Neodiprion lecontei: one gene and its partner. The protein of the gene in region 1 interacts with the protein of each later gene in a pairwise test. Links are inferred from orthologs where the notes say so. Each region holds a gene or a part of one and is shown on either strand. Other genes may lie near its edges. The genes, in order: translationally-controlled tumor protein homolog and GTP-binding protein Rheb homolog.

Region 1 (3,610 bases):
ACGTCAAAATATTTTCAGTAATAGCAAAGAAGCACATGTGTCAGGTTTTAGAATGTCATTTAATCATTATCAGAGTAATCACTGTTTTGTAAAGAGGAAGAGTAATATATTATTGATGAAAGACTAGAGAATGATATGGAGAAGACCAGTTAACACAGAATAATTGTACATATTATTATATAGTAAACTAAATTAATATTTTCATGTGTACTTTATAAAAAATATGATGATGGTGATTTGTAACAATTCTCAGTCGAATTTGTGACGGTAACGCGAAGATATAGTACGACTGTCTATTCCAATTTTGTCTAAATATAATATTTTTACGAAACTTTCAGTTTTATTAAATCAATATCTATGTGTATATCTGAAAAATTAAATACATACCTCATCTACCTCTAATTTTTATTATTTTTTTTTTTACGTCATACCATGACGATGGAAAAGTATTGTCACTTCGAGCAAAATATTGCTGGCTTGTTTCAATCATTACCGCTTATGGTGTAATTTATAATCCATGAAATCAAAACATCTTCTAATTTTAATTTTTGCTAATGGAAAAAAATATATACATAAAAGTTGAAATTGATGTTGAGGTATTTAAAGGAACAAAATACCAGATTATGAAAACGTCAATAGTTTATTTCGTCAGGCATAGGTGTATCGAATTTATTTCAGAAACAAAAATAATTAATATTGATGTAACAGCTGTAAATAATTCACAATGCATTATTGATCGAAGTGTTGTGCTACCGTCTTCTTTCCCCATCTTCCATTCCGTAATAAATACAAGTGTATAAATTAAATCTGTTAAGAGAAGTGGTAATCAAAAAATAAATAGACTAACAATCATGTTTAGTCTTACAAGTTGGAGGTCATGTCTTTAAAGTAAGAGCTGAATGCGACAAGTGATAAATATTTATCTGAGTAATCTGAGTATGTACAGTTTAGAAAGACAATCAAATAGTGTTCAATATTGTTTAGGTTTCTTTTTGATAAATAAAACTGCAATTGATACAAGAAATTGGAAGGGTTATTTGTAACTTAATTTCACAGCGGCGTCGCCATGTGGGCAGTCTTAGCTTCAGCTTATCTGTAACACATAAAAATAGAAGATATGTAGAATTAAACTAAAAAAACTTGAACCAGTTCAGAAACGAGAGTGCAACCACATCGTTGACAAATTCTGTTTGATTTACGTAGACGCTACAATAATTAAAAATATTGTAACGGGAATTCAGTCACCAATTTTATATAACATGTTTGTGCATCGGTTAACAGATAACATATGTTGACCGAGAATTTCCATGTATAAGACCAGCTGTTGTATATAACTGATCAAATTTTTATGAAATATTGTATAAACTTACAAAATTTTTTTCCACAATTTGTTTCATATCTAAGAATTATTTAGAATTTCTCTTCATCTAGGCCGTGCTTAAAGAACATCAGTACCGGCACTGAGTCACCGTCGATATCACGGTATTCCATTAGACCAACAATTCCATCAATATCCATTGATTCGCCAGTGAAAAATTGTAGCTCCTTGAATCTTGAGAGAATATCTTTCATCACTTTGTTCATGTTGGTCTTAAAAATTTCAACCTGATCTGGTGCCTTCTCTTCCAGTTTGGCAACTAGTCTGAAATTAAGAGAAGTGCAAAAATTTAGTCAATTAAATTGACGTGACAAGTAAAGAATGAATAAACATGGTTTAAAGCATTGACTGTAAAAAAATATGTCAACACTTACTTCTTCATGTAATCCTTGAGGTACAGAGTGTAGGATTTTTTGTCATGGAAGGCAAAAGTTTCTTGAAGACGATGATTCAGTACTACATCAACTCCTGATTCAACAGCTTCATCCGTACCTTCGTCAGCTTCTTCAGCTGACGGGTTGAATCCTGCTATTTCGATTGATCCAGCCTTGCGTGTGACGAGCTGAAATGTGGCGTGAATGTTAGATGCGACGTGTAAGGACGTCAATAACATGTCAAAGAATCGACGTAATTGGGAAGGTAATATACTTACTCTACCATACACTTCGTAGAGGACGTCATCGACCAGTTTTATTTTATAGGTATCTGAGAACATCTCATCACCTGGAATGCGTAAAATAAACGATGAAACATATGTATTCATAGGTTACCTTGGAAGAAAGTGAAATCTAGATGTGTAAAATATCTTCTCCATAATCTTAAAACAAACTAATATGAAATAATTGAGTGATTTGTATGATTTTAGCATAAGAACGTATGGTTGAATTACTAGAGCTAACCGAGATTGGTATGTGACAAAGGAGGCTTATCGAAATGTCACTTTGAAATTTAGTTGATAATAAACGTTTCATAATTCCGGTATAGAATTACAAATTTAGAAAATTCGTATTGTAAAAAACAGGATAAGTTTAGCGAAATATAATTACCGGTGAAAATATCTTTGTAGATCCTCATTGTGGAAGATGGAGAAAGATTTGTATACAGCTAAAACTAAATAAGACGCAGTCACTCGATAGAGCGAACCGGAAAGGACGGTGCTAAAATGGATCGACGACAGGGCGGATAATGCGCAAGACAATGCGCAACATCCGGTTTATTCGCATTTGCACACAGCGACGTCTACTGGCATCTCAGAATCCTATGGATGGTGAATTTTAGGCCTGTAGCGTCGATAGCGTTGACTGAAAATGTATAAAGTCTGCTAGCCCACTGGCGCTTTCCGTAACCAAAAACCACGAAATAAATACTAGGAGACCGAACTTCGCAGGCAAAGTTTGGCTCATTTTACCGCATGAAAAAGGCCAAGTCCGCAGAACGAAATAGCTACATGCTCGCGCATGCGCTGTACGCAGTATAGCCGTGTCCTTTGCTATCTCACAGGGAGTACGTTCCACTTTATGCTTGCAAGGCCCTCGAACGCGACCGCTAAAATTCTCGTTCCACTAACATAAAAAGACCGCGAGCGTGTAGGCAATAGTTATAGGTGGAACGCACACGCGTTTGGTGAAAGCCTACTCTGACCCACCTATCTCGTGTGGAAGTGTGGAACGTATCCAGAGAGTGCGAGTGAAAGACTCGCACTTAACGACGTAACAATTTTAAATTTTAGGGAAGTGAGAATATGTTATGAGTTTAAAGTTATAAAGAGTTACGAGACTTGTAGAATCTTTATGATATTGTAATAACTTGACGTCAAGACACTCCTGCGTCTCTTGATCCTCTGTTTCTTGCAAGAATAATAATAATATGCGACCGCATGGATGTTTTATGTTTTCCTTGCGTGATTGACAATCATGCGTCATAACCTCGCTATACGCAGTCGTTGACCGAAGAATATAAAGACAGATGTATGATGTGATGAATTTACCCCTGGGTAAATTTTTGTGACCAGTTTTCGACGGGTAAGTGGGCCCAGGTGGGCCTGGGAGCGTAAGAGGGTTTTGCTCTATCGACTCTACCTAACGGGTTCGCACCCCCGCGACATGCGTAGCAACGAAAGTAGTGTCGGTATGGAAATTTGAGATTGAGTCGGTACAAAGTTAGTATGTAAGACTACTTGACGATTGCGACTTGGAAATGTCAATGAGCTCGATCATCCCCGTGAGAAGACGC
Region 2 (3,938 bases), on another chromosome or scaffold:
TTGCCGAAACTTTGCTAATGTTTTGATCACAGTGTATTCGAGGATGACATGTCAGATGAGTGCTTAATTTATTGCAGTTAGTCACGGGCACCGAACTGTGTGTGTAAATACGTGGTGAAGTTCTCATAGGACTAGAACGGCATGCAAATCATCAGTTCAAATAACGAACTTCAGATTAAAATTGATAGGTATAAGTATCCTGATAATATGAATTAAAACAATCGTATTTAAATTAGCAAACAGCGGCAAGTACTTGAACATTTCTAGTAGAAAGGAGACGGATGAACTGTCGGCGGGATAAGCGAAGTGCGTATGTATGTACAGCAGCAGTCATGGATCTGATACCCCTGGAACAGGCAACCGAAATTGCACCATCAACCTAGCACGCTATTTCCCACCTATGTCTCGATCAGCCCCTTGACACACGTTGCTAAAAGTGGTTCGCAAAATGTCCCTCGATTCTGCCGACAATCTCCACCACTAGTGGCGCTAGTAGTTGTCTGACAATCTTGTGCGTGGTCAGCGAGGGCAGCGAGCGTGTCAGAAGTCTACTAGCGCCACGTAGAGGAACTAAAAAACGGGGACAAAACGCGTACAATTTTTTGGTATACGAGCAGTGGTGAGTGTCAGGGGCAGCTCCCTGCAACTCCGTGTTTCAGAAAACGAGTCTATGTTGTCACCGTTGTCACACTCGGTAGAGAGCGCTAGTACAGTTGCGCGGTTTGCGCGATTACCTTTACGGCCTTTACGGCGTGCAACCCGTACAACTGCACTGCTAGCGCCCTCAATAAGAACTAAAATCATGTGACATACTAGCTTACTCTTTTTACTTTTTCACTCGATCTAGTTGCAGGGGGCTGGTCAGGGGGCTGGTCTCGATCATCATGGGCATCAGAATACCGCAATAGCATTTAGTAGTTTGCTGCCTAGTCATTGGCCAATAGGAATACCAATAAAATGGGTAATTCGCATTCAGGGTGCTCCAGGTAGCGCCTCCCTGCTTTATCAGCGTATTCCTATTGGATAAAACAAAAAACCGCGACAGGAAAATAATTCGGCAGGATTTTGCTGCCCGTGAAAATCCAGCCTAAATTGACGGGTAACTTCGGATGCCTATCCCAAGGGGGACAGATATCGTGACCGTGAGGGTCACAGTAATATTCGTTATTGTCTTCCTTTTCCGGATACTTTGTTTTCGGTCCGAAACGAAGTGCAAGTTCCATCCTATACGAATTATGTAACAATGACTCCTAATCTCTGACGTCGGCTGCATCGCAAGTCATTTGTCACATAATTCTCATAGAATTGAGATTGCATTTTGTTTCGGACTGAAAACAAGTTAGGCGGAAGCCCAAGACATTTAGGAACATTACTTTACAATACGTAATTACGAGGTAGTAAACACAAGGGCAATATCCAAACTCATTCGGGTTCAGTGACGATTCGGTGTACATCCGAAAACACCCGTTTTTACTTGTTGCGATAAAAAAGGACACGAATGCAATTCACGTGCAGTCTACGGACGGTACGACAGATTCTCGAAACACAGCCCACGAATACTGCCATGATGAAATCCCAGTAGTCATTCTGAACATATCTTCAACACGCATCTCACAATCATATTCACTTGTGTTAAACGTGTGGTCCTTACTTTAAGTAGAATGCGTTAATCTCTTCAGTTAATCTTAGTTAATCTTTAAAGACGGAGTTTGTACGGTTCACCACACTCGGTTCATATTGGGATTCTTGCAAATTGAATTTCGCTTCTTGTAGCGTTTGTTAATTATTAAAGTCAAGTACTAGGTTGTCGAAATTTATTCATGAAAGTTTAACCTGTTATGGACCATTGTCAGTTTATAAATTCATGAAGAATGCCATCAAAACAGAGAAAAATAGCCATTATGGGCTATAGATCAGTAGGTGAGTCAAAAATTTTTACATTTTCAATTCATGATCTCATATATTTGATATTCATTCTTGTTAACCAAATAAATACTTAATTTATCTCCACACTCATGCAAGAATATCGCGCGCGTGTTTACTCTCACTTAACTTCTCGGTATTGACTGTACTTCGTCAATTTTTAAGGAAAATCATCCCTCAGCATACAATTCGTCGAAGGGCTATTCGTCGATTCGTACGATCCAACAATTGAAAATAGTAAGAATTCTCAAATGAGTCATTACATAGCTTAATCTTTTATATCGTAAGTTTTACCAGTATGATATTATTCTTAGTAATAATATTGACCTCATTACTACTTTCTAAGACTAAGAATTTCATTGAAATCACTTCGCAACTTTTACATCTACAATGCAAATATTTTAGCATTTACCAAGAGCACTCGTGTCAATAGTCAAGAATATGAAGTGAAATTGGTGGATACAGCTGGTCAAGATGAATATAGCATATTTCCTACCCAGTATTCTATGGACATACATGGATATGTATTGGTCTACAGCATAACTAGTGCAAAAAGTTTCGAAGTTGTACAAATAATCTACGACAAGCTATTGGACATCACAGGCAAAGTGCAGTATGTAACTTTATACCGCAATGTTGTTGATGATTTCGTGACCATGGTTATATAGAATTTATTTATACCGCATCGATATTCTTCTTTCATCACCTGAAAACCTGAATCATTATCTTTTCTGTAATGCAATATTTTACATTCCTCGATCAATTTCATCGGTTTTTAGTAGATGGATGAATATTATGGATATCCTCAAATTCATCTTACATCTCTATTACTCGTCAATGCTTCCTTTGTGATTAATGAAAATTTTTGGAGTTTACTCCTTGAGAAACGATTCGAGTTATAAGGCCCGGTACGGAAATTTTATGAGGAGTAAAATCAAGTCTAACACGAAAACTTGAGGTGTTACATAGACAGAGACAAGCATATATATCTGTGGGATTGAACGTGCAAAAGAATGAGATGGAATACATTATACAGCGTATCCTATACTCGGGGTCTCCTCTTTGTGCGATGCTTCGTAGTCTCACTGTATAGTTCACTACCTCTGGTCTGAGAGTTGAATGTGTGCGTATGTTTGTACGTGTGTGTTATGTGCCTGCGTATTACGAAGTTCTGCCGCAACTTGTATACTGCTGCCGAGTACAGGGTATGCATGCTTTAGAATAAATACATATAGTAGCATTTATTGTATCGATACAACGTACACAAACAGCAACCTAACCATCAACTTTTAATGTTTTGATTTTAAAGTTTTTTTTTACTTCTATGCATTGATACGTGTATTTTTATATACTAAGCTTTTATTGAAGTAATGTAAATAATCCGAATGATTACAGATATATGTTTGTTTCTCTTATCATTTTGGAAGATGCGTTCATTTACCTTCTTTTTCTATTCGATATATATCATAATTATCGTTTCTAAGGAATAAACTCCAGTCGTGCGTCGGAGTTGACACACACACTTTTTTTTTTCCAAATACAAATGAATTATCATGTTGCAGCGTGCCGATCGTTTTGGTTGGTAATAAAACTGATTTACACATGGACCGAATGATATCAACGGAGCAGGGGAAGCGTTTAGCAGAGACATGGCATGCCGCCTTTTTAGAGACAAGTGCGAAACAGAATGAGGTAGCTCGATATCCATTAATTTCTTAGCTAATAAATGTAGGGCATAAACGACGCTCAGGGAGGTTCACTTCTTTGCCACTTCGGAAAACAAAAGGGATTAGTTTTGGACACAGTCGGTCTTTCCCGCCAGCCATGCTGCACAGTTTCTCACAGACCCTATAAACTGACGCTTTTGCTCATGTTTGTGTTGATTATTCATAAATGATGTAATCAAAATAATGCAAATTTTTCGTATAACCTCCTAAATATCTTCTCTATAGTTTCAGCAGTTCTTTGTTCAACCTTCTGTTTGATTAATTATTTTCAATGAAAAACGCAATATA

What was found.
Region 2: the proteins of translationally-controlled tumor protein homolog (region 1) and GTP-binding protein Rheb homolog interact in binary tests that used the Drosophila melanogaster proteins (3 or more experiments, as listed by UniProt). The link is inferred for Neodiprion lecontei from reciprocal best matches to the Drosophila melanogaster genes Tctp and Rheb.

The regions. Positions count from the first base shown.
Region 1 is NC_060261.1:34,472,906-34,476,515, reverse strand, and holds translationally-controlled tumor protein homolog, read right to left. Parts: upstream 2,581-3,610; 5' UTR 2,453-2,580; coding exon 2,425-2,452; intron 2,102-2,424; coding exon 2,031-2,101; intron 1,941-2,030; coding exon 1,753-1,940; intron 1,643-1,752; coding exon 1,411-1,642; 3' UTR 1,371-1,410; exon of another isoform or gene 1,094-1,370; 3' UTR 622-1,093; downstream 1-621. UniProt on the Drosophila melanogaster protein: Involved in calcium binding and microtubule stabilization.
Region 2 is NC_060265.1:31,580,623-31,584,560, forward strand, and holds the start of GTP-binding protein Rheb homolog, read left to right. Parts: upstream 1-1,178; 5' UTR 1,179-1,871; coding exon 1,872-1,920; intron 1,921-2,088; coding exon 2,089-2,160; intron 2,161-2,328; coding exon 2,329-2,536; intron 2,537-3,485; coding exon 3,486-3,615; intron 3,616-3,938. UniProt on the Drosophila melanogaster protein: Binds GTP and exhibits intrinsic GTPase activity. Activates the protein kinase activity of TORC1, and thereby plays a role in the regulation of apoptosis. Stimulates the phosphorylation of S6K through activation of TORC1 signaling.